Anolis sagrei: one gene and its partner. The protein of the gene in region 1 interacts with the protein of each later gene in a pairwise test. Links are inferred from orthologs where the notes say so. Each region holds a gene or a part of one and is shown in the gene's direction. Other genes may lie near its edges.

The links.
Region 2: the proteins of PSMG1 (region 1) and PSMG2 interact in binary tests that used the Homo sapiens proteins (3 or more experiments, as listed by UniProt). The link is inferred for Anolis sagrei from reciprocal best matches to the Homo sapiens genes PSMG1 and PSMG2.

The regions. Positions count from the first base shown.
Region 1 is NC_090021.1:246,353,124-246,369,520, reverse strand, and holds the start of PSMG1 (proteasome assembly chaperone 1), read left to right. Parts: upstream 1-9,775; 5' UTR 9,776-9,849; coding exon 9,850-9,992; intron 9,993-10,651; coding exon 10,652-10,749; intron 10,750-12,502; coding exon 12,503-12,654; intron 12,655-13,936; coding exon 13,937-13,999; intron 14,000-15,044; coding exon 15,045-15,243; intron 15,244-15,806; coding exon 15,807-15,943; intron 15,944-16,397. Other genes in the region: OSBPL5 (oxysterol-binding protein-related protein 5), read left to right, coding at 872-1,057, 1,274-1,409, 2,635-2,752, 3,825-3,927, 5,137-5,272. UniProt on the Homo sapiens protein: Chaperone protein which promotes assembly of the 20S proteasome as part of a heterodimer with PSMG2.
Region 2 is NC_090024.1:66,282,092-66,297,980, forward strand, and holds the start of PSMG2 (proteasome assembly chaperone 2), read left to right. Parts: upstream 1-7,389; 5' UTR 7,390-7,464; coding exon 7,465-7,524; intron 7,525-10,887; coding exon 10,888-11,059; intron 11,060-12,461; coding exon 12,462-12,520; intron 12,521-13,888; coding exon 13,889-14,007; intron 14,008-14,795; coding exon 14,796-14,969; intron 14,970-15,889. Other genes in the region: CEP76 (centrosomal protein of 76 kDa), read right to left, coding at 965-1,062, 1,545-1,730, 3,041-3,265, 3,689-3,770, 5,285-5,440, 6,888-6,950. UniProt on the Homo sapiens protein: Chaperone protein which promotes assembly of the 20S proteasome as part of a heterodimer with PSMG1.

The DNA.
Region 1 (16,397 bases):
GGACTTTAGTAAGAGTCCCTTAATAGTAACAAGAGAGCTTTTTTTAAATTGTGTCAGAAGCGACTTGAGAAACTTCAAGTCATTTCTGGTGTGAGAGAATTGGCCATCTGCAAGGATGTTGCCCAGGGGATGCCTGGATGTTTTACCATCCCGTGGGAGGCTTCTCTCATGTTCTGACATAGGAAGCTGGAGCTGACAGAAGGGAGCTCACCCCATCTCACAGATTCAACCAGCCGACATTCAGGTCAGCAGTTCACCCAGCACAAGGTTTTAACACAATGCGCCACCTCGGCTCCAGTGAGACAGCTGATAAGGGAGTCTAAATGGTGCAACCTCCTTCCGATTCATCCCAAGAACCAAAGAAGACAGATCTTTAAATGTGTAGCTAGTATTTCAACTTTTGTATTTCAGAACCAGCAGGTGGGAACTAGATGGTCCCTACTGTGAGTGTTTGGAAATTTTAATTCCATAAATATACACATATGTAAGCTATGATAGGGAACTTCCTTGTTCCCTGCTCTAGCCATTTATATTGCAAAGTAGTGATTGATTTTGATAGATTCCATTTTGCAAAAGATATTTGTGACACAGTGGTCCTGACTAGACCATGATCACAGTGGTGGGAGAGTTTAAATCTGCCATAATGTCATACCTGTAATGAAAGAAGGCTGAAAGGGAGGTGGAATCCCTGAACTGTAAGAATGTTGCTCATTCATGTTAATTAATATCATCTCTTGAGTACTTCTGGGAACCATTTTTAATTTAATATTGGTGTTAAGCCTCTTCCCGTTCCATTATAAAATAGTTCTACCCCATCACTTGAACCCCATCACTGTTTCAACTATGGACGCCTATTTTGCTGTTTTGATAGACTCTGGCAGCACGTGACGAGTGCCATCGGCAAAGGGGACCAGAACAAAGCAACTCAAGAGAAGTTTGTGTTGGAAGAGGAACAGAGGAGTGCAGCCCGGGAACGGAAGGAAAACGGAAATGAGTGGAAGCCACTCCTCTTCTGGCATGATTCTGCCACCAATGAATGGCATTACAAATATGAAGAGTGAGTGATTCTGGAATGTGTAATAGTGAAAAGTTCTCTATTTAGATCAGGAGGAAACATGCTGTGCTACAGCCACATGCAGCTTTTTGAATTCGAACATCCTATAGATACACATTGCCTGGTACAAACACTGGTAAAAGCTAGCTTGCAAGCATGGTATACATGATTTCTTGTAAATTTGGTAGCTTTTTTCATGTGCTTTTTTCCTTTGAAAAGTTTAAGGCCCTGGGACCCGCTGAATGACATTGCCCAGTATGAAAAGGACGGGATACTTCAAACCATGCAGAGGCACTTACCCAATCGAATGTCAGCTCACAAAAACATGCACATCAGCAACAAAGTCCGACACAAGGTAACATTGAGAAAAGTTATATTTTCCATACTATTGTATATAATCGAGTATCAGCCTAGTTTTTCAGCACATTTTTCATGCTGAAAAGCTTGGCTTATACTAGAGTGAGGGTCTTGGCAGGAAGGCATGGGACTGAAAGAAGCCCTTTGCAGGGCTTCTACCAGGTGCATGCCTCCTCCCCTCCGGCACAGCAACTGTGCAAAGAGAGGACGAGAGGAAGGCATGCAGCCTCTCCTCTCAGCACAGGAACCCAGCTGGGTTGCTGTACTGAGAGGCGAAGCTATATGCCTGAATTAATGTAATTTTATTGGTATCTATTTTATTTTGAATTTTACCAGTATCTGCTGCATATCCCACCCTAAGCTCAAGTCAGTAAGTTTTCCCAGCTTTTTGTGGTAAAATTATGTGTCTCGACTTATATTTGGGTCAGCTTATACTTGAGTATATACTGTGTTTGGATACATATAACATCCTTTTATGCCTGTTTTCTGAATGGTAGTAAGCCAATTTGCAGCCTGTGGCCTGCAATTCATTCTTCATGAGCCAGGTTTGGGAAGGTGGCAGCCCACTTACAGATTCATTAGTCCCATGACTTGGCAGTTCAATTACTATTCCTGTCTGTTTTCCAATGTTTTTGTCTGCAAATATGGTTAGTTCGTATGATATTCTCCTTCTAACCTGCAACAATTTTCCTTTCAAATTGTTAATTGTTAGGGTTAATTTAGATTATTATAGTGTTTCAGTTGAAGTGGTTTAACCAGCAGGCCAATGGACAGACTGTTGGGGCTTAGGGATGCTGAGTTCAGATTCCTGATATGAGATATCCAATTTGACTGGCTTTGGTGGTAGTTCTTTATCTGTAAAATGAAATGAAATGTAGAATCGAAATGATATTTATATCACATTGGAGGATTCTGAGGGTGGAAAAGACAAGAGAACAATTCAATGCGCAATTTACTTATATAGCTGTAATGCTAATATCCAGATTTGAAATGTCTGTTAGAATATTTAAAGGGGAAGAGATATGAAGGCCTTGAACAGGTCATTTCCATAGAAATGTGTGGGATTATTTATGAGGATTTCCACCCAGCTTCTTTCATCCTTGAGGTGATGAACCTCAGCAGCTCCCACTAAAGTCCAGGTAGTTATAAATACTTGGATGATATTTTTTTGTCTCACCCAAATCTCTGGTAAATTGACATATTTTCTGCATTGGTCCATTCAGAGGTCTGCAAATGATTGTCGACGCCGTAAAGCCAGTAATCAACCGTCCAATAACAGCCAGAACACTGAAAGTAGCTGTTCAACTCCTGAGTCCATGCAGGAACTTTCAGATGATGATGGTAAATGTGTTACAATGTTCTGATCCAGTGTGCTCTCTTTGTTTACCCACATCTTTCAGGAACTTGCCACTGCTATCCATCCTAGAAACAAATGCATTTCAGATATGTTTCTAGGACAGATGACAAGTGGCAAGTATAAATATGTGAGGGGAAGTCATAGGGAAGAGGGAGCATGCTTGATTTCTGACTATGACAGTGGCTCCAAACTACAGGAAAGGAGATTCCACCTGAACATTAGGAAGAACTTCCTAACTGTGAGAGCTGTTCAGCAGTGGAACTCACTGCCCCAGAGTGTAGTGGAGGCTCCTTTGGAGGCATTTAAACAGAGGCCTGATGGTCATCTGTCAAGGGTGTTTTAAAGGTGATTTTCCTGCTTCTTGGCAGGAGTTAGACTGGATGGCCCACGAGGTCTCTTCCAACTCTATGATTCTGATTCTATGTTGGAGTTCCATTGTCATTATTTCCCAAATTGCTCAAGTTGTAGATCTATGAAAGCCCTTTTATCCATTTATATCAACCTGTCTACCCACCTACATACCCATATTGCAATTTGAGAATTGGCAGTTGTTAATTGCCTTCAAATCAACATTGACTTATAGCAGCGCTATAAATAAGCCCACTGTGGCACTGTTTTCTGTACTGGTGGGACTACATGCTCCTGTGAAATAATAGATCATGCTGACAGCAACAGTGCTGCTGGTAGGGTCTTAATTGACAAAGAGACTTGGCAGTAGTAGTAGTGGGGCAGGATAACATTGGTGAACGATCTCTCAGAGATAATAGCAGTGACACCATAGCTAATGCTAGCTGGTACTGCACAAAAGGGGTCATAGAAGGTCTCTCATTCATAGGATCACCATAGATCAAAGTCAATTTGATGGCAGTTAACAACAAATAAGTAAGCAGATAGGTAATCAATGTACCACTTAAAAGAAACCTTTTTACATATATGTTGGAGTGATTTCTCCTCTCCTCTAGAAAGAAGAAAACTGCAAAACATGTAAAACACTAGAACCTTCACATTCACAAAACACACATATAATCCTGCTGTTATCTCACCATTTCACCATAGGTTTTGAAAGCCCGTGTACCCAGTGTGGGAAAGAATCGGATCATTTGAAGGAAATTCACACTGCTGTCTTATCCCTCCAGAGAGCTCAACAGGATATACACAGGTATGACCTTTCCTTATTAATGCAGTAACCTTATCAAACTTTAAATAACTGTGCATAGTTACAGCAGTATTGTATGCTGCTCTCAGGGACTCACTCTTCAAGAGTGCCAGGCAGGAAACTGGTTGATGCATAAGTTTTACTAAGCACGAACCAAAGTACAATGATAGTCATTAGCCCAATCCAGAAAGTCAAGTCAGTAAAATGAACAAAGGTTATTATCATGCCCCCACAGAGGCATTTTCTTTTCCAAGCCTCGGTTATCCCCTTAATTAGAATAGGTTCTGTTAGTTAGTTAGTTAGGGTGCCAGGAGTCTATTGACAGCAACATATTCCATGTTTAAGGTTTTAAAAGCTGAAGTTTAAAGTTTAGGAAACTGGAAAGGGGGGGGCAGAACAGTAATCTTCCTTCAGATCAAATGATTATGGAACAAACAAAAACTGAAGACATAATTTTTGGTGGTGCAGTGGTTTTAGAAAATGGAAAGGGAGGAGGAGTGTGGACATCTAGAAATTTTCCATGAGATTAACAGAAACCTTCCTATGCCTTCCTTTTTGGTTATTATATGTTTTAATGGTTTTTGTATGGATTTTATAATGTTGTTTTAAATGTTTTAATTGTATATTGTGGATTGTTATGGCATCCAGTTGCTGCCAATTTGTAAGCTGCCTTGAGAAAGGCTTGAGAAAGGCAGGATAGAAATATCGTAAATAAATAAACAAACCACTTTTTGGGGGGGAGGGGGAGAAGTTGGGAAACGAAGATGCCTGAAAAGTCATGGTATTCTTGAAAGTCAGGGATTTTTTTTTTTCATGTCAGGAGCAACTTGAGAAACTGCAAGTTGCTTCTGGTGTGAGAGAATTGGCCGTCTGCAAGGATGTTGCCCAGGGATGCCCAGATGTTTTACCATCATATGGGAGGCTTCTCTCATTTACCTGCATGAGGAGTTGGAACTGACAGACAGGAGGAGCTGTCCCCACTCGCCAGATCTGAACCGCTGACCTTTTGGTCAGCAGAAAAGGAGAGTTACATTATCTTTGTAAATCTCGTTTTTATTATCAGAGAAACAGTAAGTATGGCCAGAATATATTCTTTCCCATGTTTCCTTTGCTCAAATCCTGAACTGATTTGGATTTTTTTTCTTTATAGAATCTGCCTCTGTAGGTACTATTTTCCTTTCTGAATAACCATTGCTTAACTCATTCTTGCAGAAACCTCACTGCTCTGAACAAAAAGTCCCTCTTCAGGAGGACCTCATCAGAAAACCTCTTCATGGACTCTCGCTGTTGGTTCCTTCTGTGCATCTTTCTCACGTGTCAGCTCTTCATTAATTATGTCTTCAAATAAACATCACAGTGGCATTTGGGCAGCAATAAGAATGACCAGCTGCAGGAGCGTGGAGACTGAAAGGCAAGGAGCCCACCGAGGCATTAAGCACTTTACTACCGACACAGCAACCAGGGGCAAAAGGAAGAGAGAACAGGGTGAACCAGGGAACCTGCAAAGTTGTGTTCTTCAAATTTAATGTCATTGCCTTTTTTACATGTACATCTACAAGGACCTCTTTACCTGTATGGGCCTTAATGCTAAAGCCAAATGTAGCTTTAATTGTGCAATTTTTGTTTTTCTATGTCTGGTCGTTTTCTGATGCAATTAAATGTTACTAACAAGTATTTGTGCCCCTTCTAACACTACCAACATCTACTTGGTTTTGTAATACGGTTCCCAGTGGTTTGTTTTGTAGCTGTTCTACAGAACGAGGAGGGCACTTGGACATTGATCCAGGTGCCTTCTAGAAAGGAACATTGGGCAGCCAGATAGAAAATTAAGCCAACTGGGTATAGATAGCACAGCTTCTCCTTGGATCTTCTCACCAGTGCTCTCTCACACCACATCTCAATGAACAGCACACCACATTGCATTCCACCAAGTTGTAAATATGCATGATTTCTTAATGACCTGTCCTTTTAGGAAACACGAAGCCTCCCATTCATAGGCAACAATGGCCTGCCAGATGGTCGGAAAAGGAATCAGTTCGGGGATATTAGTCTCAAAGTTTTTACATTGATTAAAACACACAAACACAAGCACTGTATAAAGGAATGCAAACAATATTTAAAGGAATGCCTCTGAAATGTACCATTATTCCCAGAAGGGGAAAAGAGAATGACCGTATATGAGCACTTCTGTATATAGTTTATTTTGTATGCCACAAAAATCACTACAGTACCGGGGTTCACTGGGCATATACTGTGGCATAGGAAGGTTTTGTCCACTGATGCATCCAGGGCAGCTTTATGGGTAGGTGGTGCAAGCAACTGCTTCTGTATGTTTCTTTTGGGTGATCACTTGTAACTAGTTGGCTCAGCTTCCCTGTGCTTTGTATCAAAGGACAACTGCTTTCTAGTATCACAGAATGCCCCCTTCCCCTCTATAGGGCTGATCCTGTGATTGTGTGAAGGCACCTTGTGTATGTTCTTTGCTCATAGGTACATTTAAAGGTTAATGGTCAGGATTAGTAAGGGTTTGCCACTGCATCCTCTGACTCTGTTGATAGTCTTCCTATTTTTACACCATTTTTAAAAGATTTGCAATATTTTATGTAGATTCGCAGCCAGTACTAAGCCTTTCTTTTCTGGCCTGAAGTAGTTCCAAGTGGTAAGTACTGCTATATATATAAAAAGATTATATATATATATATACAGCCTTAAAATATTTAGTGGTGGTGCCAGTCTGGGCTAACTTTCATTGTAAATGTTTCCAGATTTTTAACTACATTCCTTGTGATGTTCCCTCATTAGGGGAAATTTTGTTTGTGCTTGATATGTTGAAATAAACTACACAACTTTCACTTATACCTTCTGTGTGGCTCTGTCATTGTAGTACATACAACTTCTTTTTTGCTATTTATCTTTCTTGTGCAAGAAATATTTACTCCATGGAGATGTTGACAAGCTGGAATGTGTTCAGAGGAGGGTGAATAAAATGATCAAGGGTCTGGAGAACAAGCCCTATGAGGAGTGGCTTAAAGAGCTGGGCATGTTTAGCCTGTAGAAGAGAAGGTTGAGAGGAGACATAATGGCCATGTTTCAATATGTGAGGGGAAGTCATAGGGAGGAGGCCTGTTTTTGGCTGCCCTGGAGAGTAGGACCACCACATCCTCCATAAAAGATTTAGCAATGTATTGGAGGCCTGCAGGAGAGGGGGAAATGTGTTCGACCTGTAGAAGCAGTTCAAGCTGCAGACAGACACATTTTGAAGTTTTCCCAAACTGGTTAGCTTGCAGTGTACTGAAATGAAGAATATATCTCTGAGTACATATCAGGAAACTTGCTCATTTTTTACCTTCCAATGTATTATTTTCATAATTGTGCCATCAATTAATGTCTATGTTGTTGATGTTATTAATATTGTGCTAAAATGACACCCTTTGTTATGCACATATACACATATAGAAATGGGGTTACAGAGTGGAGTCCACAAGATGCGAGTGTGGAGAAGAGCAAACCACAGAGTACTTATTACAGTGCAGTCTGAGCCCTGCCACATGCACAATGGAGGACCTTCTCACCGCGACACCAGAGGCACTCCAAGTAGCCAGCTTCTGGTCAAAGGAAATTTAGTACACTGCCAAGTTTTTTTTTACTTTGGTTGTGGTTTTCCTGTACATTATAACTGTATTCTCAATTCGCTTCTGACATTATAAATAAACATGTACATATACACAAAAACATATAACACTGTAATTGAACCTCCAACTCCAGAGTCTCATCACTCAACATGTCTTTTTACCTTTAAACCCCACTCTGTGTTTGGTACTTGGGATTCATGGTGACCAGTATACAGACATATTGGTTGCAGAGTTCAGTGTGGTAAGGCATTAATTATATGAAAACATAGAGATAGAAAAAAATGAAAACAGTGAGATTTGTGGTATAATGCCTAAAAGAAATATGTTCAATATTATTACCTCAGTTTAAAGGAAAGTAATACTTCTCCCTGAACTCCTTCTCAGCTCCTAAAAATACTTCAATTCCATAATTTGCACTAACTATCTAACAGACACGCCACTTTGAGTCCCCTTTGAGGAGATAAAGCAGGGCATAAATAAATATGATAATAAAACTTCTGGTTTATATTCTATCCTAGCCCTCCTACCCACAGCATTCTAAGGTTGTGATTGGATGGAAACATCATCATCATAGGCTGTCGCTCGTGGCCAAGTAGAGAAAGATGGGCCAAAATTAAACAAAATGAAGTTCAACAGGGACAAATACTCCACTTAGGCACATCATGAGAAGACAGAAACACATGGAGAAGACAATGATGTTGAGGAAAATGCAAGGAAAAAGGAAGAGGGGCCGACCAAGGGCAAGATGGATGGATGGTATCCTTGAAGTGACTGGCTTGACCTTGAAGGAGCTGGGGGTGGCGACAGCTGACAGGGAGCTCTGGCGTGGGCTGGTCCATGAGGTCACAAAGAGTCAGAAGCGACTGAACGAATGAACAACATTCAAAAAACAGGGGAAGGTTATAGTATGAAAGCTGGGTCCAGAAGTCCTGAGAGTTACACTGTTTCTGCTCTGCCCCTTCGGGAGCGCTGTTTACACAACGCAGAACGGAACACTAATATTATAAAAGGAATGTAAGAGCTCTTTAATGGTAAAACCCTAACCCGTACCTGAACCTTTACCTTAACCCTAACCCTAACCCTAACCAAACCATAATCATAAACCTAAACCCTAACCCTCCCCTCCTTTCTATCCCTTCACCAAATGCAACTACGAAATATATTATCCCCTTTCCTTATTCACAACCGCCATTGCAGAATTTGCGTAATGCTCGGCACTTCCAGACCCAGCTATCATACTATCACTCAGGGGAATGCCACACAGGAAACAATCGGCCAGCTAACACCTCCCAACAAAGGATTCCCCCAGACAGGAAGCAGCCAGACTTTGAAGCTGCAAGGTCATTCAATGCTAATCAAGGTGGCCAATTGCAACATTCACACCTGCCTCAATTGAAGAGAGATATTGACAAGCTGGAATATGTCCAGAGGCAGGGGACTAAAATGATCAAGGGTCTGGAGAACAAGCCCTATGAGGAGTGGCTTAAAGAGTTGGGCATGTTTAGCCTGAAGAAGAGAAGGCTGAGAGGAGCCATTATAGCTATGTATAAATATGTGAGAGGAAGTCACAGGGAGGAGGGAGCAAGTTTGTTTCTGCTGCCCTGGAGACTGGGATGCAGAACAATGGCTTCAAACTACAGGAAAGGAGATTCCACCTGAAGAACTTCCTGACTGTCAGCGCCGTTCAGCAGTGGAACTCTCTGCCCGGAGTGTGGTAGAGGCTCCTTCTTTGAAAGCTTTTAAACAGAGGAAGGATGGCATTGCTTTAAATGCAATTTTCCTGCTTCTTGGCAGGGGGTAGGACTGGATGGCCCATGAGGGATCTTCCAACTCTATGATTCTATGATTCGAAAGATTCCTCCAGGCAGGAAGCAGCCAGACTTTGAAGCTGCAAGGCCATTCAATACTACTCAAGGTGGCCAATTGCAACATCCACACCTGCCTCAAGCAGACATGAGTTCTTTCTCTCACCCTGGACATTATTCCACAGATATATGAATAAACCCCACTTGCCTAGTTTCCAACAGACCTCACAACCTCTGAGGATGCCTGTCATAGATGTGGGCGAAACGTCAGGAGAGAATGCTTCTGAAACATGGCCATACAGCCCGCCAAACTCATAGCAACACACCAGCATCTGGTTTCGCAACTGAGGGCAAGATGGAAGCATCGCGGCTGGCTTCAAGGGCTCCTTCTGCGCATGCCCGCTCTCCCGGAAGCGCCCCTGCATTGGAGACGCTGCTCTGCTGCGTAAATACAAGAGGGAGACCGAGAGAGAGAGAGCGTGCACGCGATGGCCACGTTCTTCGGGGAAGTGGTGGCCACCCGGTCCCGCGCGGGGCTGGACGAGGAAGAGGAGGAGGAAGAGGAGGCTGCCGCCCAACGCCAGGAGACGCCGGAGGACCGCCAGATCCGCCTCGCCCTCCAGGAGAAAAGGTAGACCGGGATTGGGGAGGGGGGAGGATTGCATCCACCCACACTGTAGGTTTGATGCAGGCTGACTCTGCTGTCGGATCATTTGGATTGCAGTTGGGAGAAGTTCCAGCACTCTTTCCCAAAGGAAGGTAAAGACCTTGTGAAACTAGAGCTCCCAGGAACCCATTGCATTGAGCCAGGGCAGTCCAAGTGGGGTCAAACCGTGTAGATCAGGTCTGGGTGGACTTGGGCCCTCCAGGTCTTTTGGACTCCAACTCCCAGCATTCCTAACAGCCTCAGGCCCCTTCCTTTTCCCCCTCAGCCGCTTAAGCGCCCAAGTCCACCCAGGCCAGGTGTAGATGCACCTAAGGAGGACATCTAGCCCCACCTTTCTGAAATCTGCAGCCCTAGAGCATGTGCAGAGTGCATGCTGAATCATTGCAGCCTCCTCTCCATCTCTATGCATATCTAGAACTTTTGTCAATGCTACTTTTACAAGTTGAGTATCCTTTGCCTGAAATGTTTGGGTTTTGGGTTTTTGCAATACTTGCATTTGCATATGAGTACAAAAAATGAGATATCTTGGAGTTTGTGCCCCAATCTAAACACAAAATTTATTTCTGCTCCATATATATCTTATGCACCTAGCATGATTTCACATAGTATTTTATTTTATTCAGGGAGGTTCACCTTGTCTGGAATCCGGGACTGAAGGCCTCTCTGGAAGAGCAGCTTCCTTGCTCAAAGTTCATCTTGGCTGTGGGTCAGAACGCAGTAGGTAAGCAATAGTATTCATTTCTTTGCTTGCTTTGATTGTTTAACCCACTGTTAACCCCTTGTAGAGCAGGCAGGGGCAAACTTTCTGAATTGGGGGCTGCATGTTAGCACTCCGTTAAGAGGACTGGCTGCCCAGTGATGGATGGAAAGAAAGAACGAAGGAAAGAGAGAAGGAAAGAAGGAGGAAATGGAGGGAGGGAAGGTTGGAAAGAGAAAGAGGGAGGGGGAGGGAGGTAAGGAAGGACAAAAGGAAGCAAATGATGGAAATAGGAAATGAAGAGGGAAGGACAAAAGGATGGAAGGAAAGAGAGAATGATGGAAGAAGAAAGAGGGAGGTAAGGAACTAAGGGAGGGAGGTAAGAAGGAAGGGAAGAGAAGGAAGGAAGGAGAAAGGAAAGAGGGAAGGAAGGACAAAAGGGTGGAAGGGATGGAAGGAGAAAGGGAGGTAAGGAGGAAGGAAAGAGAGAAGGAGGGAAGACAAAAGGGAGGAAGAGAAAGATGGAAGGACGAAGGGAAGGGCCCAATTTAAGGTGCTGGTGTTATCCTACAAAGCCCTAAACGGTTCCGGCCCAAAGTACCTTGCGGACCGCATCTCGGCCTATGAGCCCACGAGGACCTTGAGATCATCTGGGGAGGCCCTTCTCTCGATCCCGCCTGCCTCACAGGCACGTCTGGCGGGGACGAGAGAGAGGGCCTTCTCGGTGGTGGCCCCCCGGCTGTGGAACTCCCTCCCTGCTGACATCAGACAGGCGCCCTCCCTTATGGCCTTTCGCAAGGGCCTGAAGACATGGCTTTTCGAGATGGCATTCAACTGAGTGCTATGTTACTGGAAATGACAACTGGAATGGATTACGACTACGAGATTTGTTATGATTCCACGATAAGACGGAGCGGATTATTTTAGTGTAATTAGATGTTGTGTATTAGTGATATGTTAGTTTTGTTGTCTTGGTTCATTGTAAATTGTCTTTTATGTGCTGTACACCGCCACGAGTCGCCCTAGGGCTGAGAGCGGCAGTTAATAAATGCAGGAAATAAATAAATAAATAATAAGGATGGAAGGAAGGGAAGGGGAAAGAAAAAGAAGGATTGGGGAGGTAAGGAACAAAGGGAGGGAGATAAGAAGGAATGGAAGAGAGAAGGAAGGAGAAAGTAGGAAAGAGGGGAAGGATGGAAGGAGAAAAAGGGAGATAAGGAGGAAGGAAAGGAAGACAAAAGGGAGGAAGGGAAAGATGGAAGGAGGAAGGGAAGGAGGAAGGAAAAAGAAGGATGGAGGGAGGTAAGAAACTACGGGAGGGAGGTAAGGAGGATGGAAGAAAGAAGGAAGAAAGGACAAAAGGGTGGATGGGAAGAAAGGATGGAAGGAGAAAAAGGAAAGGGAGGGAGGAAGGAAGGAAGGAAGAAAAGACAAAAGAGAAAGAAGACTGAAAGTGTGGAAGGGAAGGAAGAACGGGGGGGGGGGGAGAGGGAGGTAACGAAGAGAGGGAGGGAAGGAGAAAGAAAAGAGAGAAGGAAGGAAGGAATAGAATTGTGTGAGAGAGGGGGGCCTGAGAAAAGAGTCCAAACGGCCACATCCAGGCCTGGGTTTGCCCGTGCCTGTTGTAGAGTCACTTCCATCAGCTTCAGATATCTCCTCAAATAATGTAAACTGTGTACTTGAGGTGTATCACTAAATGGCTACATTGCAAATGTGTTTGATAACAACGTGCCAGACACAACAATGTTCCATAAATCAAATCTGGCTTTGTTTGCAGCATTCTTGTCTTCCTTTGTTTTGAGTTCGGATTCTTGGGAGGTAGTTGGATCTGTCAAATTATGGAATGAGTGGACCAGGACGTCAAACACAACCAAATTCCTTCCAGCAGATTCCTTTTGTTTGTTTTATCGCTTGATTTCCGATCCTACTGTAAGTACCACCTTTTTTTACCTCCTTTCTCCCCAAACAGGGTTTGGAAGATCTTAAGTAACTAAGGTAACTGCTGCTAGCTTAGTATATAATGACCATGATTTGTTAGTAAATAATGACCATGATTCCCTAGCTAAGCTGCTAAGTGATGCACCAATGATCCTATTTGCCATGCACTGTAGTGTCTACACTCATATTTAAGTGTTGGAATCCCATACATGTGGTTTGGGACCAGTGTCGGCAACATAGTATATTTTGTTTAGCTCCTGGCTTTTAAAGAGTTATACAGAAATGTGAAGGTCCAGAGAAAGGAACCTAGAACACTAGTGAAGATATCCAAATACCTTTTTGTGTTTTTCCATATGCAGAAATCTTTGATGAATTAATTTTTATTTTAAATATAAATAAAATGTATGAAATGAGTTCACTTGCTGCCCCCCTGACATACATTCTCAAAATGATTTCTAAGCTGATTTGGGCATGATATTGGAAAGGGATTTGCATGTCTTATACAATACAGGACCCATCCAGGTATTTGGCCCAGGAGATCGGGTGTAAATCCAATGGTGGATTATTTTAGCAGATAATGTTTTAACTTATTTTATTTATACCCACAGATGTTATAAGCATTGTATATGAAACCATGTAGATTGAATCCATATCATGGACTTTCTGCTTTTACTGTTTTGAATCTCTGGTCTTAGTATTAAAACTTTCAAAATAACTCTGTTTTTAATGTTTTAAAGTTTTACACTCCTGATCTGTGATGGTAACGGTAACAATAAAATTCATTCAGTTGCTAGGGAACCCCTTCAATGAATTTTAAATATTTTTTTCGTGTCATGAGCAACATGGGAAACTGCAAGTTGCTTCTGGTATGCGAGAATTGGCTGTGTGCAAGGGCATTGCCTAAAGGCTGCCTGGATATTTTACCATCCTTTGGGAAGCTTCTCTCATATCCCTGCATGGGAAGCTGGAGCTGACAGACGGGAGCTCACCCCATCTCCCAGATTCAAACCGCTGACCTTTTGGTCAGCAGTCCTCCTGGCACAAGGGTTTAGCCCATTGCACCACCAGGGGCTCCATGATAACTCAATGCGTAAGGGCACCTTTTTAATAGTGCATGTGAAGAAAAAAAGAGATTTGAGGAGTCAGAAGAGTTCAAAGGCCATCAAAAAAGCACTCACTTTGCTGTCCCTGCCTTCAGAATTATCATCATTTATATTGCCAGTTAATAAGGCATTGCAGAAATTCACGAAATTTGTTTTACTACAATTTCCAGGTTTTATTGTGCCAGTGCAATTGTTATGTGGCTGAAGACCAACAATTTCAATGGCTTGAAAAGGTAAGAAGGACAGTGGTAAGTTTTTTGCATAGGTAACATAGAGCGAGGGTCATGTATGCTATTGTTACTGGAGTTGGCAATGTCCTGGTTATATTTCTCATTGAAAATCAGTTGTGGACTGAGGGTCTGCCACCATGTGAGTTACAGAGAGTGAATGCACTGAGAGGGGAAATTTAGTCTCCAAAGGAACCTTGTGGAGGCTCTCTAAGACTAAGACGTATCAGCACTCTTGTTTCTATAAATGTTAACAGTAAATGTGTGCGTGCCTTCCCAGAAGTAAGTCCCCTTGACCTCACTGCTAACTGGGAGAGAAATAAAGTTGAACACTGTGAAAGCCACCCACTGCATGGCTATCAGCCTCCTCCTAGTAGACACAAAGCAAGGAAAAGCTTCATGAGAACCACCACTCTTAATGTTCCCCCAGCAACATCAAGGCTATATCCCTCTGGGTAGCTAAACCAGGAAATCCCAATTGGATGGTCCCCCACGAGGGTCTTCCTCCAGGAGAAACCAAGAATGGGCAAATTGGAAGTCCCTGAACAGACTCAGAAGTGGGCAGATCAAAAGATAACCTGGCAAAATGACTACCTAGAAGAATCCTCCACCTTGTGCGACTACGGAGCAGAACCAACAACTCTGCACCTGTATGCTTGCCCACAATGCCCTGCCTCATATACAAAGGAATAACTGTTTAAAGTTAAAGACAATGTAGTCTCTGTTGCCCCGTTTTGGTCAAAAATTATTTAGCTACTTGTGCTCCCTCTATTTTTGTCAGTTTTATACCTATGTGTGCAATGCTTTGACACGAAATAAATAAACCTCACTGAGGCTTGCTCTTGGATACATTGGCACAGGGTTCATTCTGCGATTTGGCTTCCTGTGTGAATGCCACTTCTCCATGGCTGCTTCCTGCACAGAGGCATTAGAGATGATTTCACATGGAAGGAATGTGACTAGCATCAGCTGCTAGCGTGAAATAGCCTCAGTATAGTCACTCTTTTCGCATTTTGTCACACTCGCCCTGAAATTTGTAACTTTATTCTAGGTATTTGGATGCCTGCAGAATACGAATTTGAAAGTATTGGTTCTTTCGTCGTGTTCCGTTACAGATTATAAAACACCAGAGTCAATTATAACACTTCCCTCTCCTTTTCTGAAAGCGTTAAAGACAACAGAGTTCAAGGATCAACTCTGCTGCTCACTTCTAGAACAGCCAAATATTGTACGGGATCTTCCTGCGGCAGGTATGGAATCTCTTCCCATAGCAGAAGTCTAAGGAGGGGAAAACAAGCCATCGTGCAGTAGCAAAATAGCTCCCTGCCAAACTCGGCTCATAGGCCACCTACACATTTAGTAGCTTGTTTCCCTCTGTGTTTCCCTTTTTACCATTATTACTTTTTTTTCCAATAGCATTATTACTTACTTTCCAATGGGAGGGAAGGATGTGAGTCTCTGTGGGTGGAGCATAATGCATGATCCCATCCTGAAGTAGCAAAATAGCTCCCTGCCCAACTCAGCTCATAGGCCACCCACATATTTAGTACCTTATTTCCCTCTGTGTTTTCTTTTTTTTCCACCTGTTACTATTTATTTTCCAATAGAACAACATTGTCTTATGTCTTAGTGGGAGGGAAGGATGTAAGTCTTTGTGGGTGGAGCGTAATGCATGATCCCGCCTATAAAGTGTCACAAAATGTGTGTTCAATCTGATTTGTTGGGCATTTCATGTTTTTCTCTTATTTTCTCATAAAAGAGCAAGTGAATGATCATTTTTGCCTTTTCTCTCCCCTGCCCTTGTTGTGCCCAGTTCTCAGTTACTGCCAAGTGTGGCAGATCCCTGCAGTGCTTTATCAGTGTTACACTGATGTCCTCAATCTGGATGTGGTAGCAGTTGATGCTTTCAAGCCGGTTCTTTCTTCCAGAATCCTAAAGAGTTTGGTCAAGGTAAGACTTAATTACTTGGTCTTATTTCAGACTGCCTGAGCTATTGGGCATTTTATCAACATGACCATTGCTTTGAAGAAAACTTAGATTAATGTAAATTTATGGAAAGTGCTTTTTAGCAGTTACAACTTAAAAGAGATAGTTCCATACAGAGCCATGCAAATATTTATAGTGACTTGGGAGCATGAATGTGAATGGATTCTGCTGTACAATCAGCCCTCTTCTCTCTCTAGGGTTTAGAGGTAAAAATCCCTGTGAAATGAAAAATCTCAAAGAAATTGCTGTTTTTCACTTGAGAGAATACCTCCCTGGGAATTTCTAGATTTTCCAGCACAACTTCATGGTCAACTTTGGCTGGAATTGCATTGGAGGACCTAAAGATTCCTAGAGAGACTTCTCTCTAGAAATCTCTAGCTCCTCCAGCAAAATTGAAGGACATTGACCATAAAGCCAT
Region 2 (15,889 bases), on another chromosome or scaffold:
TACGTATGTCTTTGTGAGATCAACAATAAGCAAGATAATGGATAAGATGTTTTAAAATGTATTGTTACAGACTACTTCTTGATACTGCAAGCAACAATATTTTGGAGTACAGATACTCCATCTGTAACAGTTTCACACTTGGAAAAAATGCCTGGTGACAACTATCTTCTTCAAAATTGCAGTTACAGTTGCAATAATATTAAATTGCAAGTATCAGGACAATATAATATTTCCTTCCCAAAAAGCCAAATTTTGTTTCAGATTTACCCTTCCAGTATGGGATACATCAAGCAATGAGGATTAAGGATAGCTCTTTTTCAGTTAAAAGATATTACATAAAATTTAGAATGGTTTTTTTTTTTTTGTCGTGTCAGGAGCGACTTGAGAAACTGGAAGTCGCTTCTGGTATGAGAGAATTGGCTGTCTGCGAGGACATTGCCCAAGGGACGCCTAGATGATTTGATGTTTTTATCATCATTGTGGGAGGCTTCTCTCATGTCCCCGCATGAAGAGCTGGAGCTGATAGAGGGAGCTCATCCACCTCTCCCCGGATTTGAACCTGCAACCTGTCGGTCTTCAGTCCTGCCGGCACAGGGGTTTAACCCACTGCGCCACCGGGGGTGCATTAGGATGGTAATGTTGATGAAGAACAGAATGAGATGAACAGGCAGAAAATGCAACCAATGTTGCATAAATTTTGTTCTCTTAATTCTCCAAACTAAATACATTGATACATGAACCACAGTAGTGCTCAGTTATTCCATGTTTCCTATTCATTGCAATACCACATTTTTAAGAATAAAGAGGGAGACAACTGTATTTCAGCAGAACTTTTACAAACAACAACAAACTCAATTTTTACTGTTTCAAATGGTATAAAAGCAATCTGATTTGCATTTTAAAATATATAAATTTATATGTTAACCTTGATTGTGTCCCGTCCCCCCCAAATGTTAAGACTTACTTGAGTACTGACTATTTCCTGAGAAAGTATCTTATTTAGTTTTGGGTACATTTCGAGTCTGATGTTCAGTACTCCCACTGAAACCTTTGATTCTGAACCTTTGGACCAAAAGATATTTGTTTGATAAGAATATAAATAGACATTTTAATAGGTCAGTTTTTCAGAAACCACACAAAAGACATACATTTTCTCTTCTAATTAAATTTAGGAAATATAAAATCTTTGCGGTAACCACATTCCCTTATAGTCTTATCTGAATTACAAAGAATACTGTGCCCGTTTTCCAAAGCAGAATTTTAAATTATATGAGATTAATATGTATTACTAGAAAGTAATGAAAGGAAAGAACCTGGCTTTATTGTGAAAACAACAGGCTTTTGAGGGGAAAAATGTTGGAAGTTGTATCCTGGGTGACATTGTTTCCTCTTTCAAGAGTGATAAACTTTACAGCTCAAATTGCTTAATAAACAGTTTGAAACCAACTTTCAATTTTACTATTCCCATCTTCCTTTTTTAATTTAATCTGGTGTTATTCTTTATATTTTACTATATTTTACAGTAGTATATTTTTAAAGCTTACCTACACCCAGAAGTTCAACAGCAATATTTGTTATCTTATTCTCTGCACTCAGGACTGACCGCCACTCTAAGAAATAAGAGGCAACTAATGTTGTCTCACCAGCTGTATCTGTTTTGATCAAGACAATGTGCACTGGATCACATATTGAAAGCATAGTGGTTGCATCCACCATTTTACTTCCTTCACCTGTCAATATATCAAAACAGATGAAGAGTCTAGTCAAATCCCCAGACATATTGCCATTACACTTTTGAAAAATGACTTAAAGAGTCCAAATTATGACATACGTATCAAATTTACAACAAAAAACAACCAGAGCTTGTTAATATTGCCTAAGAAAAGCAACTATGACATGGAGAAATTTTGAGTAGAAAAACAGCTGAAGGGGAAAGAAGTAAGCACTTCACTTCCTACTGAATCCTTTCTATCCAAAATTACAGCACTGATTTTGTCTATTAAGCAACAGGTTCCATGGATTTTCATAAGTTTCAACAACAACAACAACAACTTTGTTCTTATATCTTGCCTCCATCTCCCCGAAGGGACTTTGGGCAGGCTACATAGGGACCAAACCCAATATAAACAAAGTTACAAAATGACAAAATTAAAAATATCAATCAAATATATAAAAAATAAAACCAATAAAATCTAAAACACCATAAGACATAACTCAACAGCAAGCAACCGATGGCCAAGAAAAGTGAGCATGTGCAGGTTTGGGACTAATAGGGCAGGAAAGAGCTAGTGCAACATAATCTGTAAAGCCGGGACTGGGAATAAAGTGCTGGACATCCTACCAAAAGATGAGGGCTAGACAGATTTGATGTGTGTGTGTGTGTGTGTGTGTGTACATATGAGAGGATATGGCTGCAGTTTCATGAAGAGTCAGAAGGTGGAGTCTATTTTTTATGAAGGCAAATACATGAGATACACATCAACTGCTGCAAGTATACAATCTGCTGTTACATCCATACAAATGTGAACCAAGAATATTCATCCAATACCAGCACAAGGTGAACCCCCCCCCCCCTTTTGTCCATTTTTGGGAGACAGGCTATTCCTGTAAAATCCTCAAATAATCCTATACAAACAAACTCACAAGATTATGGGAATATGTTCTTTATATTTACACATTTTTGGGCTTATTATTAGTGTATTATCTCATGATGAGAATAACATGATAGTGACGAAACAAGTAACAAAAAGTGTGTGTAGAAGGAACATGGCCATACAGCCCAGAAAACTCACAGCAATCCAGTGCAGAAGCTTATTTTTTGTAAACTAAGAGGTTTTGAATTGAAGTTTACATTTTTTTCAAAATGAGGTCTACAAAGCAGCCATGACTAATTAATTTTGCCAATGTGGATAACTGCTATGAAACCTTTATGTGTGTGATAATACTTCTATATGCAAAAGGAAAAAGAAAAGAAAAAAGAATGCTAATATCCCCAAAGGAGAACTCAATATTATTCCTGTCACACTTCAGATTTTCTTACCTAAGGTATCCTTATATACTTCAAGTAGAAAGCCATCACTGAAATCCGGTTCACAGGCACATGGCACAGGTTTAGAGCGGAAACGTTGATTTCGAAAATGTAAACAGAGGGTGAAAGTAGAACAAGTTTGACCAGGTAAAGGCTCAGGTTCCTGCAGATGTTCCAGAAAAGCTTTCCCACTCAGAACCTGAAGGTAAAGATACCTCCGTGTTGGGTCAATATTTGCTGCAAAGTGTACCAATAAATAGGAAATAATCACAGTTTTGTACAAAATATATTTTGCATTAATAGTTAGGACTAGTCAGTAACTGTACTTTAAAGTATTTACATAAAAGTCATTGTGAATATTAAAATTCCTTTCCTATTTGATCCTGATAGCATACATTAAAGAGAAATAATTTTATTGGATTTGACTGAAATCCCAGATTCCCCATTCATGTATTACAGGATCATCAGTTAAGATCAACTCCACTATGAAAACATATCACCAGAGAAATGGCAACACTGCTGACAAAAGAATACATCAAAGCAGAAGGAAGATACTTCTAACCTACTTTAAAAATAATATAAATTATGTCTTACTTTGCACCTTATAAAGCATCTAAAAAACAGTAAATGAAATGTTGTTAAAAATAGCATATAACCTACTTTTTTTCAGCACCGCTGGTTGTGTATCAATGAAGTGTGTTGAAGGTTTTGGAGGTGAACTTATTTCACCACTGTTCATATCCTAGGATTATATAGAGATAAGCACACATTCAACACACCCTTGCAACCATGTCTTTTTATCTCAATAGAACACATTCTGAAAATGCCAAAGCAGTCTTCAATAGTTCACATTATACAATCTCTAAGATACACTGTTATGAAATAAAATTATGAAAATAGCATCTAGTCTATAAGACAGTTCCTCGGGCTACTTGTCATTGTTTAGGCAGTATGATTACGTGAATAATACGTAGAAATGGTAACACCTCACATTGAATGATGCTGTTCACAGAAGTAGTATGGCTGTAATCTACGTACTTGTATTGGCTGTTGCCAATGTAATTTTTCATACCTCTAATCTACAGGGTGTTTCAAAATGATGAACCCAATTTCAAAACAGTTTATTTCACAACAGCAACATGTTACAATTACACAAAAGGTTACATGCATTTTAATAAAATATCTAGTTTTATTAATCATTTTGATCCAGAAACAAATGTAAAAAATAATTCCACAAATTGAGACTATCTCATTAAGCCTTATGTTGCAGTACTGTCATCTTGCAAATGACTGATTCTTTTGTGTGTGTGCTAAGAGAGGCATCTAGCAGTAATAATTTGAAACTCAAGATAGAATTTATGGGCATTTTGTGGTTGCAGAAATATAGCAATTTCAAATTAATTCCATTTTTTAAAAACACCTTACATAAAATGGTTAGCCAGCAAGGGGTTTAACCTGCATCCAGAGCTGCAATATCCCTAGATAGGATAGGAAGATAACTCACAAAGTGATGTTCCCTTTTCTGTCAAACTTAAAATGACCGTATATGTTTCCGTCACCAGACATGATTTTAAGTATTGCATGTGCGATTGTCTTTGAATTGAGTGACTTCTGATGTCAAATAAGTGCTTTCTTCTTATAACCTAATTCTATTTCAGGTTCGTCCCTCATGCAGCAACATATCCCTTGAGTGTATGGGTGAGTTAGAGGATGGAGGAAGATTCAGAAGTGAAGGCAATTGACTGGAGCAGATAGATCCAGCTCACCCTAACTTCCAGCAGATGACAACAAAGAAATTTACCTACGCAGTTTTGATCTATTAAAATTAACACTGCTCCACAATGAATCCAATCATAAATATTTTTGTACCAGGTTATCTGTATTATACACGAGAGCCCGGTGGTGCAGTGGGTTAAACCACTGAGCTGCTGAACTTGCTGACTGAAAAGTTGGTGGTTCAAATCCAGGGAATGGAGTGAGCTTCTGCTATTACCCCCAGCTTCTGCCAATCTAGCAGTTCGAAAACATGCAAATGTGAGTAGATCAATAGATACCGCTCCAGTTGGAAGGTAACGGTGCTCCAAGCAGTCATGCTGGCCACATGACCTTGGAGGTGTCTACAGACATCAGCTCTTCGGTTTAGAAAAGGAGATGAGTACCAACCCTCCCGAGTCGAACATGACTAGACCTTTACCTTATCTGTATTATGTAATCAATATCTGGTACCATTTCAGATGTTTTCTTCAAACTACTCACAGTTACAAAGCTGAGTTCTTTCATAACATCATTAATGATTCCTCTCCGTATCAGGGCTTTCATTAGATGTTGTTCTGAGAGTTGCTGGTGTTCAGGTGCCAGTTCTTCACGAATAGTCTCAGCAAGGACTTCTCGGACCCTGCTGTGGACATCCATCTATGAAGAAATAATAATACTAATAATAATATAGGTATATGTTTATATTACATGTAATATTATTAATAACATTACAATACAATGGTATAGTACAATATAGTAATAGTTAATATTGATATTGTACTATGCTAATAATATAATATATTGGACGTATGTATATCCTGTAAGCCGCTCTGAGTCCCCTTTGGGGTGAGAAGGGCAGCATATAAATGTTGTAAATAAATAAATAAGTACAGTGGGCCCTTGGTATCTGCTGGGGTTTGGTTCCAGGTCCTCCTGCGGATACCAAAAGTCATGGATGCTCAAGTCCCATGATATACAGTGGCATAATAAAGTGGTGTTCCTTATACAAAATGACAAAATCAAGGTCGGCGGTTTGGATTTTTTTGGAGGCGGGGGGAGTGTTTTTAAGCCATGGATGTTGGGAATCGAAGAATGCAGAATATGTGGGTATGAAGGTCCAACTGAATAAACGAAGGCAGGCAAACCAGCCTTGGTGTATAGTTGACTATTTCAGACCAAGCCAATTTCAGATTTAAACCAAAGATGGAGAGTATCAGGTTCGATTATTCCTGCTCATAAGCCATAGTTCAGTGGGATTCCCACTTTTGCTTATTTGCTTATTTTTTAATTCCACTGTTATTACGAGGGGTATTTTTTTAAGTAAGATCCGTTTTATTGTAGACACTAGTAGTTTGCGCGCATACCGCAACTAGCGCGTGCGTTGTGTACCGGCATGCCTCAGGAACAACTGTGCTCAGTTTCCGCTCTGTAGCTAACCTGTACGGTTCTGTTCTGTGCTTTAAAAATGTTTAAGACTATCAACTCACCCTCCGCATGTGAGGTTCGCTCAGTGATACGGTTTTTGCCAGCAAGGAACCTGCCTGTTGCAGAAATCCATCGACAGATTTGTGAAGTGTACGGTGATACTGTTATGAGTGAAAGCAAAGTGCGTAAGTGGGTACGACAATTCAAAGATGGCCGTGACAACGTCCATGATGAGGACCGTTCAGGTTCCTTGCTGACAAAAACCGTATCACATACGGCTGAGCACAGTTGTTCCCGAGGCATGCACGTGCTCATTGCGGTATGAGCGCGAACTACTAGTATCTACAACAAAACGGACCTTACTTTTAAAATACCCCTCGTATATACACCCAGCCTCTGCATCCATTGATTCAACCATCTGTAGCAGCCATCCCCAAACTGTGGACTTCCTATGGTGCAAGCATGGGCCAACTTGGGCCCTCCAGGTGTTTTGGACTTCAACTCTCAGAATTCCTAACAGCCTCAGCTTAAGCGGCTGAGGGGGGGGGGGGAGGAAAGGGCCTGAGGCTGTTAGGAATTCTGGGAGTTGAAGTCCAAAACACCTGGAGGGCCCAAGTTGGCCCAAGCCTGCTATAAAGGCTTTCAATGGGCATTTTCTCTTCCTCCTCCTCCTTCTCACCTTGGTCAGCTGCTGGTGAATGATCTGCTTGAGCTCTGAGGCTTTCCCGGGAGCCAAGGCCATGGCTCAGCAACTGTCCCAATTCCTTAGACTAAGTGGACACCAGACAGGCCTTCATCCCAGGCACCTCCAACCACAACACCACACTCCTCCGTTCTCCCGCGCGCTCAAACCGCCTATCCCGTCTCCCCCCTCCCAAGAGCACCCATTGGCTGGATCTCCAGCCAATCAGCAAACTCGGCCCCTCCCACAGCTAGCCATGCGCTTGCTCGGGCCTCAACCGCCTTTCAAAAAATAAAAGGTGTCTATCACAATTGCCTGATAGCAAGGCAATCGAGTCTTGTTAGGCAATTAATACCCGTACGGCAGAACAACAACAACAACAACAACAAAAATGTAATTTTCCTTCAAAGGAACTGTCGCTCGCCCGTTAACTGGCTGTCAGTAAGCGCAGATGGGGACAGGCACTGTGCAAGACACCTCTCCGAGGCGGTGAACAAGAAAGGCCCCTTGCTCTCGCTACCAAAGGGAACTCTTGTGTAGGCCTGCGGTGCGTCCAGTCAGCGTCTTGGATAGAATGTTCGTTCCCTGCGAGGGCCGCGCGCCCGCTGACTTCAAAGGCTGCACGCTGCTAATGGTAATGGACAGTTCCTTCCTTGCGCGGCGCGAGACGGCCGGAGAGAGCGCCCAACCCCCCGTTGCCCGGGCAACGCGCGAGCGGGCGCGTGGCATTGAGTCAGGCGTGGGAGGAGGAGGAGGAGGAGGAGGGAGGCAGTAGGAGGGGTCTCTACCTAAAATATGGAGGGAGGGAGTGTGTGTGTGCCCCTTTAAGGGCGCATCTACACTGTAGAATTTAAAGCAGTTTGACATTGCTATGGGATGACTGTAGAATTTAATGCAGTTTGACACCATGGCTCAGTGCTATGGGATGATGGGAGCTATAATTTTGGTGAGACTCCTGCAGTGGTTAGACTGGTTCTCAACCTGGGGTCCCCAGATGTTTTTGGCCTACAATTCCCAGAAATCCTAACAGCTGGTAAACTGGCTGGGATTTCTGGGAGTTGTAGGCCAAAAACATCTAGGGACCCACAGGTTGAGAACCACTGAGAGGATACCTCTTGTCTTTTGCTGAATGTAGCATTTGCGGGGTTTTCTTGCGAGGTCTATAGATAGTTTGTAGGTATATCTTCGAAGGCTTTCATGGCCGGAATCACTGGGTTGTTGTTTGTTTAGGGCTATAAAGCCCTAAACGACTCCGGCCCTGTTTACCTCTCCGAACGTATTCTCCCCTATGAATCATCAAGATTATTAAGATCGTCTGAAGAGGCCCTGCTCTCCGTCCCACCGGCCTCGCAAGCGCATCTGGTGGGGACGAGGGACAGGGCCTTCTCGGTGGTGGCCCCTCAACTCTGGAACTCTCTCACACTGGAGATCAGAACCGCCCCTTCTATCCTGACATTTAGGAAACAGGTGAAGACGTGGTTATGGAGACAGGCATTCGACTAGTGAGCCAATACCCTGAGATATGGATGGAGGATGATGAACAACGATTTTAGTGTGACGACTGACCATTGTAGTTATTGAATGTAATTGCTGTTTTAATGTTTTACTGTAATACGAATTATGATGTTTTATTGACTGTATGTGATATTATGGTCGGAAACCGGCCTGATTCCCTCAAGAGAGGTGAGAAGGTCGGTATACAAAACTTTTAAATAAATAAATAAATAAATAAATAAAATTTTCAGGCTGTATGGCCATGTTCCAGAAGCATTGTCTCCTGACGTTTCGCCCACATCTATGGCAGGTATCCTCAGAGGTTGTGAGGTTTGTTGGAAACTAGGAAAATTGGGTTTATATATCTGTGAAATGTCCAGGGTTGGGAGAAAGAACTCTTGTAGGGTGAGGCAGCATAACTTTCTTTTTTCAAAACTTAATAAAACCCATTGTATGAATCGGAATTTTTAAAATATATAATGTAGGCGAATACCTAAAGTTTTGTTTTACATAGTTTTGAAGATCAAATTAGGTAGGTGACGTCCTCCATTCTCCATACACCGAGTAAACCAAATCTTGTAGGGTCCTTGGATGGTTCACATAAACACGGGATTTCAAAAAAACCCATAGAAAAAAATCACAAGGGGCCAAATCTGGAGAACGGGCCGGCCACTCCAAATCCGCTCGAAAAGTAGGCCTCAATGGCAAAAGCACATTCCTCACTGCTCCAACGCATGATGGCGACTGAACTGTGTCAGGACAAAACTTTATACTCCCGCCTCTCAAACGAGACCACTAGCGCTCCGCTACGTCTTCAACCGACTGAATGGCACGCATTTTTTTAAAAGTATCTGTGGAAGGTCCAGGGTGGGAGAAAGAGCTCTTGTCTGTTGGAGGTAGGTGTGAATTTTCAATTGGCCACCTTGATTAGCATTTAATGGCCTAGAAGTTTCAAGTTTCAGGATTTATTTATTTCATATCAAAAGCATTGCATAAATTAGTGTAAAACTGATAAAAATAGAAGGAGCACAGGCAGCTAAACATCTTTTGACCAAAAACAGGCAACAGCAATGGCATTGTCTGTAGCCTCCAACAATTCTTCCTCTGTACATGAGGCAGGGCATAGTGGACAAGCATACAGGAGTGGAGTTGTCTGTAAGTTTCAGGAGAAACATCAGGAGAGAATGCTTATGGAACATGGCCATACAGCCCGAAAAACTTACAACAACCCAGTTTGTAGGTTTTCTTTATCAGGGTTCCTATGCGGTCAGTGGTTCCCTTGATGTATGTCAAGAATACATATGGACAAAAGGGATCCTCTCACCTCTGCAGGAGTCTACTATGCAGCTGTGGACAAGTCTACATAGGGACCACCAAATGCACCATTGCCCAAACACGAATAAAGGAACATGAAAGGCACTGTAGACGAATTCAACCAGAGAAGTCAGCCATAGCAGAGCACCTGATGAACCAACCTGGACACAGAATATCATTTGAGAACACAGAAATGCTGGACCACTCTAACAACTACCATGTCAGACTACACAGCGAAACCATTGAAATCCAAAAGCATGTGGACAATTTCAACAGAAAGGACGAAACCATGAAAATGAACAAAATCTGGCTACCAGTATTTTTTTAAAAGAACTCTAAAATCAGGACAGTAAATAAAGAGGAACACTCAAACAAGGGAATTCTAGACAGGAAACAATCAGCCAGCTAACACCTCCCAACAAAGGATTCCCTCAGGCAGCTAGCAGCCAGGCTTTGACGCTACAAGGCCATTAAATGATAATCAAGCTTCCAGTTGCAACATTCACACTTTCCTCAAACAGAGAAGAGTTCTTTCTCCAACCATGGACATTCCACAGATATATAAACCCCACTGTCCTAATTTCCAACAGACCTCACAACCTCTGAGGACACCTGCCATAGATGTGGGCAAAATGTCAGGGGAGAATGCTTCTGGAACATGGTAATACAACCTGAAAAGCTCACCACAACCTATGTGTAAGATTGCTAGCAAAACTATGTATATAATAATTGCTGAAGAATCCTGTCTCTTTGTGTTAAAAAGGATTTGATACCCTTTCGCCTCAGTTCGATTAAAAGGACAATTATCTGAACAAGCAGATACCATTTTTAAAATTGGTAAATAGCAGCCACATTACTTTTTTCTCCAAAACATTATAAAATATACTAATACAAACTGCTTTGAGTCTTCTTTGTGAGGTGTAAATAAACATAGTAATAATAATAATCTGAATGTGTACATTTTGCTATAAATTACTTTGGCATTACTTTACTATAGTATTGTGGTTTGACAGCTGAAATGTGTTAATACCACTACTGCTAATAATAATAACCTGCCCTATCTCCCCAAGGGGACTCAATAGAAATGGTTAATAATGTTCAGTGTTCAACTAACATGTTTTTTTAAATTTGAAAATCAGTCATTTTTTTCAGATGATGTAACTCGCATGCATCTGTTATGTCATTTCAGCCCGCGGTATCGGTGGGGAATGTTGGCCAGCTGGCTGTAGATCTAGTTATTTCCACCCTTGACATGTCTAAAGTTGGGTACTTTTATACTGATTGTCTTGTGCCAATGATTGGAAATAATCCATATGCAACAACAGAAGAGAATGCAACAGAGCTGTGTATAAATGCTGAAGGTAAGTACATTGAATGTAATGTTGGGTGCTAACTTGGGCTTGTTGTGTCTTCTCCAGAGAAACACCCTTCTTTTTAGAATGAATTTGAGCATTTTAACTCCTTGCTGTATAGAAATAGTATATGAGAAATAGTATCTGAAGTGAATTATCCCTGCTTTCCAGCACTAATTGATGTGGATATTACAGTTTTCAGCAACATTTCTCATTCAGATTGTATATATTAGCACACAATTCTTCCAAAGGGATAGTACATAATTGCTTATACTATTAATACCGAGAATCATACATTAAAATGGGAAGTGTATAAACATGCTTTTCTCCCTGTATAGTACAGATATTCCCTGTATAGTACAGATATTCAAATGGTCTTAATTGGATATTCCATGAAGTCTCAATAAAATACAGCTTAAGTATCCCTTATTCGAGCCCCCGGTGGCGCAGTGGGTTAAAGTGCTGAGCTGCTGACCTAAAGGTTGCAGGTTCGAATCCGGGGGGTGGTGTAAGCTTCCGCTGTCAGCCCCAGCTTCTGCCAACCTAGCAGTTCGAAAACATGCAAATGTGAGTAGATCAATAGGTACCGCTCTGGCAGGAAAGTAACGGCGTGCTATACAGTCATGCCAGCCACATGACCTTGGAGGTGTCTACGGACAACGCTGGCTCTTCGGCTTAAAAATAGAGATGAGCACCACTCCCCAGAGTCGGACACGACTGGACTTAATATTAGGGGAAAACCTTTACCTTTACCTTTTTTACAGGTATTCCAAAATTTTAAAAACCAGAAATATTTCTTGTCCCAAGCATTTTGGATAATGGATACACAATCTGCATTATCTAACCAGTAACAACATCATGAGTTTGTTCAGACTGTCGAGGTTAATTTGTAATCAGAAAGAAAGAAAAAGAAGAAGGTTTTATTCTTCTGCAAAACAATTCCATTTAGGACTTCATGTCAGGGGGAAACCTTTACCTTTACCTATCCCTTATTCAAACATTCAAAATCAAAAGTACTCTAGAATCTAAAATTATCCACATGGGTAACTGAGATGGTGACATCTTTGCTTTCTGCTGGCTCAGTGTACACTAACATAAAATTGCTGTCAGGCCAAAGTGTGTAAGGTGTATATGAAACATACATGAATATTGTATTTAAACTTGGGCTTCATTTCCAAGATATCTCAAGTGTATGCAACTATTCCAAAACCTGAAATCAAAACATTTCTGATTCCAAGCATATTCGGATAATATTTAGATAAGGAATAATCAGTCTGTATTTAAACTTTAAATACATTGGTAAAATTCAGTCAAGACATAACTGTAAAACTCTTACTGGTTCATCTCATATTCCTAAAGACAAATGTAAGTTAAGGTTGATCTTGATATACTGTTTATATGCTTTTCTTAGTGTATACAGCTCCTTCTAAAGAACTGGTGGTTTTGCAACTCAGATCTCCATTCATCAAGGTATGAGTGTTTTCTTTGTATTATTACATTCCAGAGAAAAACTAGGTATCTTGTTTTCTTCTGCTGGGTAATTGAGATTGTCTTAATTAGGATTCACCCTACTCTATGTTTAAATACCTTTAAAAACATTCCAGAAAGATCTGTCAACTTATCCACGGTTCATATCAAAATTCATAATTCTGGCCACAAAACTTGTCCTCAGCTTATATATGAGATCAACTTATAAATGAGTGAGTACATATAGTACATTTTGATATTAATTGACACTTACTCCTGAGCAAATGTATAATAAGATTAAGGCTTTAAGTTGTTTTACATTTTCAGAATTCGTGATTTACACAACTGCCTTAAGATGTTCTTCCAAAAATAAATTAAGTGTGACAAGTTGATCTAAGTGCCTTTTCTGTATTTATTATCCATTCCAGTTTTGGGGGGATGGGAGTGGGGAGAATTATTTAAGGTGTGAAATTATACAGGGACGATGTAAGAATGCCTCACTTTTAAAAAATCCTATATGTTTACATATAATGTTATTGCAACACTATACAGGACAGCCATGATGAATATGTGCAGCAGATTTCACTTTTTGCTTTGTTAAGAGGGTAATAGAACTGATGTTCCTGTGATGTCTCTTACACCATGAGCTGTGGCTCATTTAGTGCATGAATGTCTTTTTTGGCATTGGCTTGTACAAATTACCTCCCCATCTATATGTTCATGTGTTTGTGTGTGTGTCAGGAGCAGCTTGAGAAACTACACGTTGCTTCTGGTGTGAGAGAATTGGCCATTGCCCAGGGGATGCCTGGATGTTTTTATCATCCTGTAGAAGGCTTCTCTCATGTCCCCGCATGAGAAGCTGAAGCTGATAGATGGGAGCTCACCCCACTCCCTGGATTTGAACCTCCAACCTTTCGTGCGGTAGTTGTTTTGGTAGTTGAGGCAAAAATCTCTTGAGCATCCCTCCCCTGACACTAAAATATAATAAAAACTTTAATAAAAGACCAACTATTTTAAAATCAAAATCTGCCTGAGAAGTTATTCTGCTTAATGACAGACTTGGCCCTGTCCCTTTATTTTTTTCCCACTGATATTACTATGAAGGCCATTGTGATATACATACTTTGGGCTGTCATATTCACCATGTTTGCTTGGACTGCCTTGCTTTCATCAGCTTTCTTTGATTATTTGACTTGCCAAAATTTCTTTGAACAATTCCATGTTCATAAAATCTTTTAAAATTCAAGAAACATAGCTGATGGAACTTTTAGAACTACACAAAGAGATATTTTCAAAATTTTAAGTCACTGAAGAATTAATATATCATTTAATAAAAGTTCTAATTATTTGTTTCTCATTTTGATGTTCAAGAATAAATACAGATCCTTCTCTCAAACAATTCTTGCCTGGGTGAAAAGTTGTGAATTTGCCAAAGTTGTTCTTTTGTCCAGCAGTCATGCTTACCAACGCAATGATCAACAACTTCACGGGTATGTCTCTGTACATAATGTTATTGTGGCATGGTGTGCATACTCAAATATGTGCTTCCCAAAGTGGCTTATTGTTGAAAGTTGTGCGTTAAGAATACATTTGGGTTGCTGTGAGTTTTCCGGGCTGTATGGCCATGTTCAGAAGCATCCTGGAACATGTCCAAACAGCCCAGAAAACTCACAGCAATCCAACCTAGTGATTTTGGCCATGAAAGCCTTCAACAACATATAGAATACATTTGTATACTGTAATTTTTATCTCAGTACTCTAGATGGCCTTGTCCATTAATAATCTGAGTTTTAATCTTAAAAGTGGTGTTTGAGAGTACTATTATCTTAACTACACTCAGTCTAGATCTCATAACATGAAATGAGTTGAATTTAGATTTAGTTGTACCCAGAATGGACCTACTGAAATAAATGAGGGTTGCTAATTGTGGATCAACTCACAAAATAAGAAGTGTGGATTCAGCTCAATGTTTTTAGGGGGAGGTTGTAAGTGTAGTTTTGTGAAAGCCCATATTTCTTTCATGAATTCAGTAGTTTTCTTAAATAATGAATTCTTGAATTAGGTCCGATATAAAATGTGTGAAATTCTGTATTTTAACATTCCTTAGAGATGAGTAATCAAAGGAAACATGGCTTACTTTAGAAGCTTGCGTCTTCTCACTAGCTTTTCTCACTACTTGCTGACTTAGTAATCAATTAATAATCAACTTGCAATTTTTTTAAAAAGTCACAATTGAAAGCTTTTGCAGCTGATGTACATATGTTATGTTTGTTGGCAGTACCTCACTACGATACTTGTTGTCACCCGCTGTTGAAAAAACGATTGGAAACGTAATGGAGAGATTAAGTGGCAAAGAATTAGAGCAAGTAGCAGCTTTTCCTGGAGTAAATGATGACAATAAGATGTTCTATGTTCCAGGAGGTGGAATCACAAAACGATTATTCACAGAGAGGTTGGTGAGGCAATTTAAAAAATAGTTTTGCAAACGATCTTTGGGATTTGAATTGGTAAGAGTTGCTGTCAGCATCCTTCTCTGTCTTTCGGTACTACTGTGTATAATAATTATGTCCCTAACCATTGGTACTGCATATAATAGTTGATGTAGAATTGTTCTAAAAGAATTGCTGTGAGTTTTCCGGGCTGTATGGCTATGTTCCAGAAGCATTCTCTCCTGACGTTTCGCCCACATCTATGGCAGACATCCTCAGAGGTAGTGAGGTTTGTTGGATACTAGGAAGTGGAGTTTATATATCTGTAGAATGTCCAGGGTTGGGAGAAAGAACTCTTGTATGCTGGAGGCAAGTGTGAATGTTTCAATTCATCACCTAGATTAGCATTGAATAGCCTTGCAGCTTCAAAGCTTGGATGCTTCCTGCCTGGGGGAATCCTTTGTTGGGAGGTGATTCGCTGGTCCTGATTGTTTCTTGTCTAGAATTCCAATGTTTTTGAGAGTTATTCTTTCTTTACTGTCCTGATTTTAGAGTTTTTAAATACTGGTAGCCAGGATTTGTTCATTTTCATGGTTTCTTCCTTTCTGTTGAAATTGTCCACATGCTTGTGGATTTCAATAGCTTTTCTGTGTAGTCTGATATGGTAGTTGTATGACTATAAACCCCACTTGCCTAATTTCAACAGACCTCACAGGATACTTGCCGTAGATGTGGATGAAACGTCAGGAGAGAATGCTTCTGGAACGTGGCCATACAGCCCGGAAAACTCACAGCAATTCTGGCCATGAAAGTCTTCGACAACACATTGTTCTGAAAGGGCTTTGCCATGATTCAGAACTGTTCATGAATGAGCTGTGCATGGTCAAGAGGCTTCAAATATTTGCCTCTAAAATACTTAGACCTCATTATATATAGCGAAACA